Linked DNA regions of Caenorhabditis elegans. The protein of the gene in region 2 interacts with the protein of the main gene of each other region in a biochemical or structural test. Each region holds a gene or a part of one and is shown on either strand. Other genes may lie near its edges.

Region 1 (7,892 bases), on a different chromosome or scaffold from region 2:
TTGTGTTGTGTCCACGTTATTATCGGAGCTGGCATCGTGTGGTGTAATAGGAAAAGAGAATTAGACGGCAAAGGTTTGAAAAGACGGAATGAATCTAAAAAATGTGTTCATTATTACTAGTTTTTACATATTAAGAATAGACACATAGTTTTAGAATAATACAATTGAAGGTACACCAGGAATTTACAATTTTAAATACATAGTATTACACAGAATCGAAAACGTGCGATTTTAGCTCCACAAAATATTTACCAGGTCTCGAAACGAATTAAATTCAGAAAAGCGTGCGCTTTTAAGGAGGTTACTGTAGTTCACAACTCTTTTTTATAGCAGAATTTGCATTTTATTCAAACTTTGATATATTTCAAAAAGTTCTCACATGTTATTAATACATTTTAAAGATACTATAGTACCCCTTAAAGGCGCGCATGAGAAAACCAGTCGATTCGAGACCGGACACCGTATTTTCGGAGCTAAAATTACAAGTTTTCGAATTTAAGTAAACTGAACGGGTAATGTACAAATACTACAATGCTTTTTTAAGCTATGGAACTCTTTTTCTTGTTCAAAAGACCAAGAGAACATAAAATCTCAAACAAAAATTAATACACATTTCCTGCTCGAGTGGAGAGCAAGAACAGCCGGCTTATCGTAACCAAGAGGAACAACAACTGGCTTGAGACTCCATTCAGCAGATTGTGATCCAAAAAGTGGAGATCTCATAAAGTTTTGAAGTTGATTCGCATCGAATTCAGTATTGTCCATGTGCACATCAAGTTTGTCGGATAGACGAAATGCGGTCGATTCGATGAATGGAAGAGCCGATAGAGTGGTAACTCGTGGGCAGTCGGAGATCCTGAAGTACGCAAGATTCGGGCATGAACGGGAAACGCGTTGGGAGAAGTGATCTGTGATCTGAAAATTCAATTGTTATTGAGATTCCTTTAAATGTATCATATTCACCTGTGAAGTCCCTTTCAAATCAATTTGAGTAAGAGTCTGGAAAGATGCCTGAAAGCATCTGAGCAACTTTGCTTCAGTGTCACCTCCCAAATTGCATCCTTCAATCTCAACTTTCTCAAGCTTATCATAACCAGCAAGTAAAGCGAGAGTCCATGTATTTATTCGTTCCAAATCAATTTCAGATAGTGCCAGTTGCTTTAGTGGAGCATTTTTTGTCAATTGGAGCAGTTGAGCTAGCTGTTCATCAGAAATCTCGTCGCCGACTAATTCATTTTCCAATTGAAGGGAATGAATTTCTGAAAATCAAATTGGCAATTATACTCGAGAATTGAATGATTTTTTTTTAATGTTTCAATTTGTATCCAAACAGTTAGATAAAAGTAAAATAGACGAATAAGAAAATAAATACCGTTAACTATTTGTGGCATTAGAAAATGTAAAAGTTCTTGAATTTCTTCTCGATTTACTTTTGGAATATGAAGCTCAAATTCGTCTCCATCACATTTTCCATTCAATTTCTCACTTGTGATTCCAATCTTTATAGCACGGATTTTTGGAATCATATCTACGATAACTCTCATCACATCGATATTACTTAAAGCTGAATTAACAAGATCCGTAGGTTTTAACCCTTTATGGATTTCTCGGATGATTTCCAATGGCATATCACCGAGAATCATTCTGAAAATTTTGTTCTGAGTTTTTTTTGTTGTTGAAAAACATACAGTAAAAAAGGAAATGTACCGAAAGTGGGAAAAATTGAAAAAGGTAAAAATAAATATAAGGTTTATGGAATAAACTTCTGAAAATAAAATTGCAACAGAGTATATAGAAAATCGAACTGGAGTATTAACAGTGACACCCGATTACACGAGAAAATAAGACAGAGAAAGAGAGTAATTGATCAAAGACCCCACAGCTTTCTTCTCTCCGATCTGGCCGATTTCGATCCGACTTCAACAACACGCCTGGAAGATTCTGGTCGTTTGAACGCCTTGTCACTTTCTTCCTTCCGCCGTTCCATTTCTTTCTGCGCCTCTCGCATCTCTGCTTCCATCGTTTCAACCGTTCGGACACTCTCCATTTTCAGTTCTTTGCGTGATTGTTTCGATTCTTTGATCGAATAGAACATGGGTCCAAGTTCAGCAAGCCAGATTGCATCGACAGCAGTTACACATTGCATATATTCTTTGGCTGTCATAATCAATTCGTGGTACACCTTAATTTAGAATATTAATTTAAAGTTTAAAGGAATGTGTTTTTGGCGAATAATTTATTTTCCGCTTCTTTTTTTCGAAAAAGAGGATATACTGAAACATTCATAAATTTTTAAGTGTTACTTTTTTTCCAAAAATCATATTCAAAATTTAAAATAGAGTGCAATTTGGCCGAAATATTTGAAATACCGATTCAGCATTTTTTTTTCTTCAGATTCAGCCCTGCTTACCACGTAATCAGGCATGAAACCCATTCCAAAAAGAGCTGAAGTTGGATGAAGGAAGCATGGAATTCCGGTACGAACATTGACATATTCACCAATTCCTTTAAGACGAGCTGCATTGTGGAAATACGCAGAGCAAATGCATTTTCTCACAATATCCCATTCACTTCCGTTTGAGCTGAAATAATTTTATAAAATTGTAGTTCTAAGAAACTTTCAAATAAAAAAAACCTACATCAATGGAAGCTTGAGATCTTGCATAATTTCCTTCAATTGAGCACGAACTTCTCGAACCTTTTTCAAAGCTTTTACGTGTAAATAGTTGTCGGCACACCATTTTGCAGAATATTTGTGTGTTCTCCATTGAATATAGACGTTTAAGAAAGTGAGATGATCCGATTCGGGAACTTGGAACTTTTCTTTCTTGGCATCAGCTTCTTCTTCTCGTCCTTTTGGTCTGAAGAAAATTGCGGGCACTGACAACATCGAAACAATCGTCAGAACTTCATCACTGCATCCCATTTCAGCCGACATAATGAGCATTTTCGACAGAGTTGGATCTAGTGGGAATTCAACCATTTTTCGTCCCATTGGCGTGAGCTGTCCAGTGTTATCGAGAGCTCCAAGAGTCCAAAGTTGATACATTGAATTCAGCATATTGTCCTGTGGAGGTGCATCCATGAAGTGAAATTTCAAAAGATCATCCACTCCGAGAGACTTTAAAAGAAGCACTACATTGGCGAGATTGGTTCTTTGAATTTCAGGTACAGTACTCTTCTGAAAAATAAATTTGTTTTTATTTGAAACAGGGCTGAGCATATATATATATTTTTTAATATATATTTTTAAAAAATAAAATTAAAAATTTGTCGTTTTCGATATTTTTCCCATGAAATTTTTAGCATTCGTCGCTCACTCCAGATTTGTGAGATTCACCTCAAACTTACCAAAAGCTCATCTTTAAATTGTCTTTCAGTATACAAACGATAACACTGTCCTGGTCCAGTACGTCCGGCACGACCAGTTCGTTGATTCGCTGATGCTTGTGACACTGGGAAGATCGATAGAGCATCCATACCGATTCTTGGATTGTACACCTTCATCTTACAGAAACCCGGATCAATTACAAATAGAATTCCGTCGACAGTGAGCGATGTCTCTGCAATATTTGTAGCCACAATTGCTTTCCGCATTCCACCGGGTGCTCTTTGGAAAATCTTGGCTTGTAAGTCACTTGGAAGCTGGGAATAGATTGGTAGAACAGCAAGTGGAGGAGCTTCATCAAGTTCACCAAGCTTCTCTTTGATCATTTCACAAGTGCACTCAATATCTTCTTGTCCTGGCATGAAAATCAAAATATCTCCGTCCATACCACCCAGATGAATTGTAACAGCTTGTTTAACAGCAGCATCCACATAATCTTCAACAGGAGTTCTCGCATGAAACAGTTCGACTGGGAATGTTCTTCCAGGAATTGTAAAAGTGGGACAGTTTCCTCCGAAAAAGTCTGCAAACTTATCAGCATCCATAGTAGCAGAAGTAACGATTAGCTTCAGATCAGCTCGTTTTGCAATCACTTCTCTGAGCAAACCAAAGAGTACATCTGTATTGAGTGAACGTTCGTGAGCTTCGTCCATAATAATTGCTGAATATTGATCAAGACTTCCATCACCAAGACATTCACGAAGCAGAATACCATCTGTCATGTACTTGATTATTGTTTTTTCTGATGTACAATCTTCGAATCGAATCGCGTAACCAACGTCTTGTCCTAGCTGTAAAAATTAAAATAAAATTGTTTTCTTAAAACAGTGGTGAAATACATAATTATCTCAAAAATGAAACTAACATCCACTCCCATTTCATCAGCTACACGTCTAGCAACACTCATTGCAGCGACACGTCTCGGCTGAGTACATCCGATGAGTCCCGAATCACCAAATCCATCTTCAAGTAGGTATTGTGCCAACTGAGTTGTTTTTCCTGATCCTGTTTCTCCGACGATGATAACCACATTATTCTCACGAATCACATTCATCATCTTCTGCCGACACGCAAATACAGGCAAATACTCTCTTTGCTGCTTGATAGACTTTTCCATCGCAAAATCCGAAACTGCTTCATTATCTTTCATGTGAGATGCAAATTGATGAGATTCTTTGTAATTTCCAGAATCATCGTCTTCTGGATCAGCAGTTTCATCTTTTTTCTCTTTAACACCCATCAAATTTCCGAGTTTTGATCCTGCCAACTCCCAATGCTTATCTTGAGCCTTCTTCCTATCTTCAACTTCTCTCCGTTTTCGTACTGCAACACTTCCTCTTGCTGCTGAAACAGCCATATCACATGTTGTATCAACAACCGGAATGATTGGTTGTGCTTGTTTAGTGAAAACAATTCGACCATCAAGGAATGGAGGAACAATGTTTTGAACGAGAATTGTGACACGATTCTCATCAGTTTCATCTTCAAAAATACTTGATAATTCATCAGCCATCGCGACGACTCCTGATCTATGCAGTCGATTGTTCTCCCATAACTCATTCTCTCTTTTGATCGCCTGCTGCTTCACTGTAAGTCTCGGCTTCTGAGTTTTCTCCTGCCATTGCTTTTCTCGTTTTTCCACAAATTCGTCAGAAACCTTATTGAATGGATTATACTCATCATCAAATGCTCCTTCATTATCATACCATTCTCTGTCCAAATTCTTCTGTTCCTCTTCCCATTGAGCTCTCTCTTCGTCATCATGAAATGTGGGCTCTGCTTTTTCTTCTTTAACACTTCGTACCGAATCTTCTGGTTTTCGATGTCTCCGTCTCTTCTCATCATCTCTATTCCTTCTTTCACTTCTCCATGCACTTGAAATGCTTCGTTCCGAATCCATATATCGTTTTCTGTCTCTTTCACCCCGCGGAGTCGGCATATCCCAACTATTTCGTTTTCTGGAAGATCCTTCACGATCATCTTGATCCCAGCTCATTCTGGATGGTGTATCGGGAACTTTAAAGCGAGGAGTCTGATCTCCACTTCGATCTTTCCAACCTCTTCTACTACTCGGCTCTCTTCGTTCTGATCTGTCACGGTCTCGTCTGCGATCATCATCCCGACTTTTGTATTTCATTCCACGGTCGTCACGATCTCGATGCTTCTCATGAACTCTGAAATCATCAATTTACTTCGCTAATTTAATGTTTGAATCACTTTTCAATTCCTTTTCGAACCGATTCCGTGACACCTCGATCGTCATCATCCTCAAGACGTTTTCTGGCGTGTTCCCGCTTTGTAGACGCCAATCTATCGAGCCCAAGCAAGCTTCTGCAATTTAAATTGTTTTTATTTGAAGAAAATTAAAGTATATATTTAGTTACTCACTTCCCGGATGGTTCGGTTGGTTTTGAATCTCCCTCTACTTTTTTCTTTTTAATAACCAATCCACCAAATGTGTCACTGGTTCCTTCGAGGCGGCCATCTGCCCGTTTATCCGACATTTACTAAAAAATAAAGAATTTAAGAAAAACTAATTTAATTTCGAAAAGGAAATCGAAAATAAATAAAAAATAAATAAAAAATGAGAGAGCGAGAGAGAACGCATTATGAAAAGAGACTCAGACTTTTGTGTCTCGATAGAGCGCTCTTTCATAAAAACATTTTTCGCGAATTTTTTGTTTTTTCTTCAATTTTCTCAACACTCTTTCTCTCTTGTTGCATCTTTTTCTTTTCTTTTCTCTCATTAAAGGTTTCCCGGAGGTCTCTTCAAACAAAAAATAGCCTATAAATCAGTAGAAAATCACAATCTACTTCAATGCCACCAGTTTTCACTATTGAATCCGAATTTTTGATGTTCTTCAAATTTCCCTCTGTATCATCAACCACCGATACCCACTTAAACGGTTCAATTTCTATAGATTTGTTTGTTAACTCAAGCGCTTGAGAACCCCGGAAGCAACAGATCGGAGAGCTGAAGTGTTGAAAGTTGTTTCGAGAGAGTGGATTGCTTAGGCCCTAGCTTAAAATAAACTCAATATATTTAGAATTCAAATTGTTATTTCATATCAAATCATACGTTTACTAATTTTGAAATCTATTGATTTTCTTTTTTTCTCACCTCAATTCTATTTGCAACCCGAATTGCGAAATCGAGAGGGGCGGTCACCATGCCGGCAGCATCGATGACTCATCACTCGTATCACGAACGTTATTTGCATTCTAATGTCTGAAATGACGTTTTTCCCTTCTTGTTGAATGATTAGGAGTGTGAATCGATGTGATGAACTTACTTTCTATTACATTTTTCTTGTCCTTCATTAACGAGAAGCTTCGTATTTTCCTATTGCTCACCTCAAATTAAGGATGGAGTGAATTGGCTGGGGATTTTGCGTTAAATTATAGAAAATTGACCCTGCTAACTGAATATAACTGTAAAAATTAAACTTTTACTAAAACTAAACTTTATTTTTGAATTCTCGTAACATCTTCGTGTTTTTTTTGCTAAATTCATTGGTTTTCTTGATTAATGTTTCACATTTTAATTGAAACACAGTTTGTCAAAATTTCAGAAAAATTCTTTAAAGAGAATCTTTCTATTTTATTTTTTTTATTTCTCACTTCAAATTAGTATTAATTTTCTTTCAGAATGGCTACATTCGGCTTTCTCAGCGCACCGCTGAAATCGACTAATGAAGTGGATCTTGTGAAGCCACTTACAAGCTATATCGACAATGTCTACAATACATCCGATAATAACCGCTCAGATGTCGCCGAAGCTGTTCAGGAACTTAATAAACTCCGTTCAAAAGCTTGCTGTCAGCCTCTCGACAAGCATCAAAGTGCTCTCGATGTTTTGACTAGGTAATAAATTTAAAAAAAAAGAATATCTTTGAAATAATTGTTTTTTACAGATATTATGATCAACTCGTTGCCATTGAAAACAAAATTATAATCTCTGCAACTCAAAATCCAGTTGTTTTCAAATGGAAGGATGCATTCGACAAAGGAAGCCTCTTCTCAAGCAGAGCATCCTTATCCCTGTCTGACGGATCCTTTGAACGTGCTGCCGTTCTGTTCAATATCGGATCGTTGATGTCTCAAATCGGAGCTGCTCAACAATTCCATACCGATGATGAAATTAAAGTATCTGCAAAACTATTCCAACAATCTGCTGGAGTATTCGCCCGTCTTCGTGATGTTGTTCTCGGAATGGTTCAACAGGAACCAACTCCTGATCTCATGCCAGATACACTTGCTGCTCTTTCTGCATTAATGACTGCTCAGGCACAAGAGGCGATCTATATTAAAGGCCACAAGGATAAGATGAAGGCTACATCAATGGTCAAAATATCTGCTCAAGTTGCCGAATTTTACTCGGAAGCACAAAAAATGATGTCTAAGGATATTGTTCGAGGGCTATGGGACAAAGATTGGAGTGCCATCGTTAGTGGAAAAAATCTCGCCTACCAAGCACTCGCCCAGTATCATCAATCAGAAGTGT
Region 2 (7,899 bases):
AGCAAAATCAGTTCGATGTAACAGTGATGTACTGAAAGCAGTGAATGCAAGTGAAGTAAGTATTAAATCAAATAAAAATATATTTGAACAATTTTTTATAGGTATTATTTCATTTTGCTCAACTACCAACAATCGAAAAAATCAATAATAATAACAATAAAAAATCATTGCACTTCATTCATCGAGTTTAGATTTTCGTGATTCCTCTCATCCATCTTCGCCATTTCTCTTTTCAAACCGGTGTCTTCTATTTGATCATGTTCACTTTTAAATTTTGTGCCTTTTATGTGAAACCAGCCAATGAATTTTTGATTTATTCATTGAATTTTATAAACAAAACAAGCATGTTAAAAATTTGAAATCTAATCAGATTTTCTATTTATCATGCAGATACAAAGACATGATAATCCACCAACGTTGACAACATGAGACGCGTCAGTTTGCCATGAAGACCGATCTTTTAGGAATGAGTTTTCTACAAATATTAAATAATTATTCTGGTTTTTAAAGTTTTTTCACAATACCTAAACTCCGTTTATCATGAGTCATCAAGACTAATCGTCCACCTTTCCTTAAAACTCGTTTCCATTCTGCGAGAAGCCTCGGGTACAGTAACCTGTTATCTGTGGTACTTCCTATCTTCTTGCCAAATCTGAAATATAAATGTTTTTAAGTGGAAAAATCGTTGAAATGATTACGGTAGATCCGTGACAAGTGCATCGATTGAATTATCGCGTAGTGGAAGATTTGTAGCATCCCAAGTGAGAAAGTCGCAGTTTGATCGGGAGCTCGATGAATTCGCCGACTTAAAATATTTATTATTTAAAAATGGCAAATTTTCAATTGTGGCTAATCTACTCATTTTTGAAATAATTTCGACACAAATTCTTCGTTTTGCTTCTAATTTAAAAAAACAACTATTTTTCCGGCAAATCGGCAAACCGGCAATCTACCGAAAAATTTTGGGAAACTATGGTTTTGCACATTTTTTGTGAAATTATGGAATTTCAATTTTAACAGGAAATGTTTTAAAAAGGCACAGTTTTATCCCTCTAAAGACTTTCGGCAAATTGATGTTCGGAAAACGGCAAATCGGCAATTTGCTGAATTTGTCGACAAAAAATTGCCGAACGCCAAATGCGAGACGAAACGAATAATTTACGCCGAAAATGATAAAAACACGGAAATGGGCGGAGTTTCGAGACGAACCCGCGGTAATTCAAATTTTCGTTTTTTCTTACCCAATTCTGTAGACATCTGCTCATTGCCATCTCATGATTATCTCCACCCAAAAATAATGAATTTTTCCATGAAATTGCCCCTTCAATCGGAATAGAGCCACCTCCACACATTGCATCGACAATAATATCTCCTGGTTTTATATCAGCTAATTGAAGCATGCAATGACACATTGTAGATCTCATTGTAGTTGGTCCATACGCACAGATATTACGTTTGAATAGAGATTCTTCGTTCAGAGCCATCATTACTGTCATCTGAAAATATGAATGAATTAGAAGAAATTCAAAGAAAACAGCTGACCAGAAATTCTACAAAATGAGCCAGCGTGGAATATTTTCCCAATTTTTTTCATTAAAAGTTCTTGATAGAATACTGTATTTAAAAAATTTGATTTATCTGAAAATTTTTTCCAACTAAAATGCTAGCTATTTTCAGATAAAGCAAATTCCTAAATTTTAATGAGAGATATTGGGAGCAAGGGTGCGAAAATTTTTCGATTTTTCAAATATCGAAAAATTAAAAAATGTATTTTATCGTTTTTTCGATTTTCAAAAATTATCTTAATATTTTGGTCATTATTCCTCTTTTTAGAAAATTTTTATGTTTTTTCTTATCTAAATATCAATATATTAGATTTTAAAAAAAATCATATTTTATGGTTGATTTTCTGAATTTTTTTTTTGGTTTTTGAAAATCGAAAAATCAAAAATTTTCGTTTTTCGATTTTCACTGAAAAAAATCGAAAAATTCCACCATTGATTGGGAGAACACTATCTCATTTTGTAAAATTGCAGGTACACCGATCTTACATTATTCCGATCAATCCTTAATACTACTTCTATATCGAACTCTTTGACACTACATTTCCAACCAAAAGCATTATTAATTTCAGCTCCAAACTTCGAAGCAGCATCCATTGAACTGAATTTGTGAATCTCTTTCTCTCCACATCGTTTGCATGTTACTCTGAAAAAAAAGTCATCATAACTTTTGAAAAATAAAAATTATTAGGAAAAAAAATAATTGAAATTTTATTTCAAAACTAAAATTTTGAATTGTAATTTTTGTGAGATGTACCAAATTTTTTCAGTTTAAAACCACAATAAAATTTCGAATTTTTAATTTTTTTTGAAAATTTTAATAAGGATTTTTGATATTGATTTCAAAAATTACCTAAACTTGGGTGAATCGTCCGTAACTTCACTATATATTCGATCTTTTTTAAATTGTTGAATCTGTTTCAAAATCTTTTCACTTCCTCCGTTAATCGCGTTTCCACGTGCCAATTGATAAGCTTCAATTGCCAATTTCCAGTTACAAAATGAAATTTGCGATTGAATAGTTTTCAATGCATCTTCTTTTTGCATTTCAGACAGCTTTTCAATTGTTTCTTCATAAAAAACCATATAAAGATTATCGATTGATCGAAGTTGCAGAGTCTCGTTTACACGTTCCAGATCTATTGAAAATCTTACATTTCCACGTCCTGGATGGCATTTTTTAGGCGAAAATAATTTTGAAATCTGAAGGAACTCGAGTAAGATATTTTATCTAGTTTTCAGGATTTACCTCTTTTGCTGCAACTTTTTCAAAACCGGTGATGACAGCAGCACAGATTTCAACGGAGTCTGTCATTTGTCTGAATATCTTTCGTATCTGTTGAAATAGATTCCTCCAAATATTATGAGAAAATCTGAATCTTATTTCTGAAAATAGTTTCAAAAAGAATGGTTTGTAAAGGTGATAATATTTATATGATAGATATCTTCCAAAAATCTTAACTGGACAAATGGTAAAAAAAGTATGAGATGGGGGAGAACAACAGACGTATGAAGTGAAAGTGTATACTGATCTGTCTTATGGGGAATTGCAATTTGATTTTACATGATAATTGTGGGGTAGTTAGGTTTTGAAAAAAAAATAGGGAGTTTTGAAGGTAGGGGAAGATGCGAGAATAAACCAGATATCATGAAGAGAAAAATTGGGGAAATAAAGTAAAGTACTGATTGATTTCGGTTCCGGAACCCGCAATAGAATGTGTATATCAATGAAAGTGGGAGAACTGGTGATTTAAAATGATTGAATGTAAAGAATAAGAGAAATAATTGAGATCATTGTGAAGAATGTTTCCAGCACTCATTCGTAGAACGGGATAAGCCATTCGTTTTCCTATTAATCATCCAGAGTAATACAATCATCTTTTTTTGCTGGTGTTGATGTCTTCTTATCTCCTTTTGGGTGATTTGAAGTGAGATGGGCTTCCAGAGTCTGATAACTCGAGCATTTGAACGCGCACACATCGCACGAGTACATGATTTCAGCCGAGCACAACTTCACTTGATGATCAGCTACCAAGTGTTGAAGCATGTTGAACGCATAGTTCTTGCCGCATGTCTTGCATCGACCTCCGTCTTCCTTCTTTTGCGCTTTGAGGAGCAGATCAGCAGTGACGAGACCATGCGACATCACCAAGTGCCGCTCCAACCCTTCATAAGTCCAGAATCTGTCACGGCATCGAGAACATGCCAGTGGAGCTCCTTGCGACATGTCCTGCAGCACTTTTCCAACCATCTGCTTATGAGTAGTCTGAAAATGTGATGTTTAAGATATTTAATAATCGGTTTTGAAATTGAAATAGAAACGTTTCTTAAAATTACCTGAAGATGCTGTAGATACTTCTCCTTTTCCTGCACTGACGCATCACAAATTTCGCATACAAACGTGGGAGCTGAAGAAGAGCCAACAGTAGCATGAGACGGCGTAGTAACAAGTTTCGAACTTCTGTGTGTTGGCGTCTTTTGACTGTTCTGGCTTCTCATGGAGTTCACCGCAGCCTGAAGTTGTTGAGCTCCTTGTTGCGACTTCAAAGCTGCCATTTGCTTTTGGAGAAGTTGAGAAACTGCCAGCGAATTTCCTTGTTGACCACCTCTACGCAACGACGCTTGCATTGCTGAAATATAAATAATTATACAAAATACTTATTTAAAATATGTTTAGCTATTACCTGCAATCAGAGTGTTATGATTCACATTTCCTTGATTCTGCTGTGCACGTTGAGCCTGCGCTGATTGTTGTTGCAGCAGTTGAGCCACTTGCCGGAATTGGGCCGCTTGCTGTTGCTCACGAAGACGAGCCTGTTGCTGTTGTTGTTGCTGTTGTAATTGTTGCTTCCGTAAGAGTTGCGCAGCGGCTGCAGCTTGTGCTGCTTGCTGTTGATGCAGAAGTTGCTGTTGCTTCTTTTGTTGAGCTTGCTGAAGAGCAGCTTGTTGCTGCTGTTGAAGAATGCTGGGATCCAATTGGGGCCTCTCCCAGAGCCATCTGTTGATATAGAGATGATCGTCTTGCTTCGGCATCATGATGTTTCGAATGCGAATGTAGTCCTTCTTGCACTGCTTGTAATGCTGCTCACGGACACCTTTGAAATTGAAGTCTTCTTCGCAGATTGCACATGGATACTTGGACTCCTTCTCTTCCGATTTTGCAATAACAAGATGAGTTTCGCTGTAATTAAATGAATATTGAAAGATGAAAAAAAAAAAACTTACAAGTAGTGATCCTTCATTCTTTGCTCACTCGTGTCCGTCTCTTTACACATGGTGCACTGGAATTTGGATCCTGTGAAGTGCAAATTCTCCTTGTGAGTGCTCATAACCAGCTTTGATTCCGTCTGGAATCCACAGACGTCGCATCGATGCATTTTCAACTTGTACGGCTCATTTTTGCGTTTCAATGTCTCCCAAACTGGTTTCAACTGCGCAGCGACTTGCTTATAGGTTTCAAGATTTTTTGGCACCTCTGGAAGATTCTTCGCGTGAACTATATCACAATAGGTAGCTTCTTGAACGAGATCCTGTCCAATGTCCACGAGCAGTTTTGTCATATTTGGAACAGGATTATGTTGTTTCAGCTGAGCTCTCTCTCGTTTCTCGGAATCACTCAACTTTGGTCTTTCTTCTCCAAACATCCTGTTGATAACCTTCGTCAAAGGCATTTCGGGATCGTGCTCAATCAATAAGTCGCAAACTTGACTTGGTGGGAATGATATTGTGTTTGGGAGAACGAGAACTTTGTCCAGGATCAGCTTCCGAACCGACAGAGGCTCCTTTTGAACTTGCGCATTGATTGCTCCGAGAAGAGTGTCCAGAACTTTTCGGCTTTTGCTGGATGGTTGATCCTTCTGCTCCTTCACATACTCTTCCAGCTTGTCGAGCAATCTCTTCTGCGCCTGCTCATTGTTGTCCTCTTCTGGAACGCTTGTCGCCTTGACATCATCAATTTTAGCTTTTTTAGCTGGGGCAGGGGTAGAAATTTCCTGAATCTCGTCATCATCGTCGTCGTCGAGTTCGATGCATTCGACAGGCCGCTTCACACCCTTCCCATTCTGTTCGACAGGCATTGAAGAATCTTCTGGCTCTTTCTCTGTAGCGATCTCAGTTGTTCCGTTTACGGAAGGTTCTGGCTCCTCTTCATCTAGCACCTCCTCAGTAACTGAAAATAGAAAGTTAAAATTAAACTTGGTAAAATTATAAAACACACCTGTTCCGTTGGCAGTATCCTCCGACTTTCCGTTCGGCTCCTCAGTGATTTCCATAACATCGCCATCATCGTCTTGTTCAATCTCAGATGATGCCACAGTCACTTCGGAAGCCCCCTCATCCTTTTTACGCGCTTCCTCTTCGATTGGAACCGATGTAGATGCAGCATCACCGTTTTCATCAGATCCATCAGGTGAGGGATCCGTAGACTCTTCGGTGTCATCTATCTCGATCACTTCCACGTCTGCAGATGCCGCTTCCTCTTTTCCGTTCTCTTGATTTCCGTTGACTTCGGAACCATTCGCCGCGTCGGCCATCACTTCGCGCTGTTCTGCCTTCAGCTGCTGAAAACGTTTTATTCAGATTTAAATTCCCAAAACTTTTCCTCACCTCAATTGTGTCTGGCTCCGAATCTGAGGACGATTCACCAGCGCTTCTCGGATCCGTTGGTTCCACAGACATGGAAGTGGTGTTGGTCGTTGTGGCGAGTACCGTCTCGTCGGCGGTGACCATTCTGGAAAAATAGAGTCTAGATAGTGAGAAATAGGCAAAGAGAGAGTGATGAGAAGGAAGCAAATTAGGACAGTTACAGTCGGAGAGGTGGGAGATTCAAACTGGTAGGAATAAAATGCGCGCGCGCGGCAAGCCAGATTTGAACGCACAAGAGAACCAGCTGTGGTAAGTGACTGAGTATCAAACGTGGTACGCAGCCAAATCGGCCTCTCTCCTCCCCTTCCTCGGCCGCTGGTCGCAGCCGCCGACGCTGAGAAGAAGGGTGAGCAGCACTCGTCCTGCTCGCATGCGTCTCTTCACTGGCAGTACTCTCTCATCGGTCCGTCCTGGTATTCCGCGTCGGGAGCGTCAACAGAATCATGCTTCAATCACCAAAAAATAAGCCGGGCAACTTGTAGCAATTGGAATTTACAAACACATTTTGTTAGAGCGCTGCGTACTTCATTATGATTCATCCGAAAAGTTCATCAAAATGATTTACTGTAACGATAAAGGCAGATAAATTTAAAACAGTTAATTTTAAAAGTTCAAGCACGCAACCTAATTACACAATCTGATATATCCATTATACTGATTCTCAAAGCGAATAAACCGGGGCTCACTATTAATTACGAAAACCGAAAAGTTTGAACACGTCCCACCCGGGCGGTGCGGATGGCGACGGCGCGGTGTGTGAGGCGAAATGATGTGTGTATGTCATGAGTGTGTGAGCGTTCCGTGAGCGCATGAATGAGTGTTTTGTGAGCGTGACGTGCGTGGCGACGGGTTGTTGTGGTCTCGCCATCATAACCTTAAATGGTCTAAAAATTCATAACCGCCATTGTCGGTTAGGCCGGGTGCTGTCTTTATGGGCTGCGAACTATCTTCTACCAGGAAGACGCCCGTTCCTAAAACTTGAGAATCAGCTAAATATTTCTATAGCGTTTTCTAGGAAATTTCTACAGGCCTTAAATATAAATTCCGATTAAACATTAAACGAAAATCTAAGATGTTGAAAGGATCGTGTTAGGATCAGCGCTATATCAGCTGGAAGTGTGAATTCCTTTGCATCTAGAATACAAATGATAGTAACCTGAACTAAATTCGGTGCATTTCAATTGAAGTTGGCGTCTTTCTTCATTCTCAAGTTAAATCGAATTCTCGTAGGTTTGTAAATTTTTGATAAAAATTAGAACCTGATTTCGTAATTTAGGTTTCTGTGAGATTCAGCAGTTCTAGGATACATTCGAAAAGTTTGTGAGAGAAAAGTTATGACTATTCATGTTTTGAAACGATAATGACCTTATAATCATGAGGATCAACATTTCTGAGGATATACTACTCGCTGGGCACTATAAACTAATGGAAAAACTGCATTTCTGAAAAAAAGTGACACAATGAAGAAAGATATTTGCAAGATCAGTCAATGTGGGATTGACACCGTTGTATTTATTAATTGAGTATTTCCTCGGGTCTCGCCACGAAATCGCAACAGGTGCAGTTTCGATAGCAAGGGAGTGAACGTTGGTTCTCAGCCACACATTCGCTCAATTTGAAATTTTTGTGTTTTCAAGATTCAATTGCAGCTAAATAGAGAACCGAATATTCATTCTCGACGGGTTACTGTATT

Evidence for each region. The genes of interacting proteins can lie anywhere in the genome.
Region 1: the proteins of mep-1 (region 2) and mog-1 form a complex in vitro, tested with the Caenorhabditis elegans proteins (one study listed by BioGRID).

Annotation. Positions count from the first base shown.
Region 1 is NC_003281.10:9,950,321-9,958,212, forward strand, and holds mog-1 (putative pre-mRNA-splicing factor ATP-dependent RNA helicase mog-1), read right to left. Parts: upstream 5,896-7,892; 5' UTR 5,893-5,895; coding exon 5,777-5,892; intron 5,720-5,776; coding exon 5,606-5,719; intron 5,563-5,605; coding exon 4,254-5,562; intron 4,180-4,253; coding exon 3,352-4,179; intron 3,182-3,351; coding exon 2,640-3,181; intron 2,583-2,639; coding exon 2,411-2,582; intron 2,183-2,410; coding exon 1,868-2,182; 3' UTR 1,740-1,867; downstream 1-1,739. Other genes in the region: K03H1.11 (F-box domain-containing protein), read right to left, coding at 592-915, 964-1,259, 1,373-1,643; alx-1 (Apoptosis-linked gene 2-interacting protein X 1), read left to right, coding at 7,038-7,252, 7,303-7,892. UniProt on the Caenorhabditis elegans protein: Probable ATP-binding RNA helicase involved in pre-mRNA splicing.
Region 2 is NC_003282.8:11,523,034-11,530,932, reverse strand, and holds mep-1 (MOG interacting and ectopic P-granules protein 1), read right to left. Parts: upstream 6,292-7,899; 5' UTR 6,291-6,291; coding exon 6,168-6,290; intron 6,122-6,167; coding exon 5,779-6,121; intron 5,731-5,778; coding exon 4,788-5,730; intron 4,744-4,787; coding exon 4,247-4,743; intron 4,193-4,246; coding exon 3,900-4,192; intron 3,829-3,899; coding exon 3,415-3,828; 3' UTR 2,979-3,414; downstream 1-2,978. Other genes in the region: M04B2.7 (uncharacterized protein), read left to right, coding at 1-55, 102-191; thum-3 (THUMP domain-containing protein), read right to left, coding at 363-475, 525-652, 699-805, 1,242-1,496, 2,052-2,208, 2,416-2,765, 2,812-2,877. UniProt on the Caenorhabditis elegans protein: Has a broad role in development, specifically in the genetic pathway SynMuvB that negatively regulates specification of the vulval cell fate. Required for fem-3 3'-UTR-mediated repression in the regulation of the sperm/oocyte switch.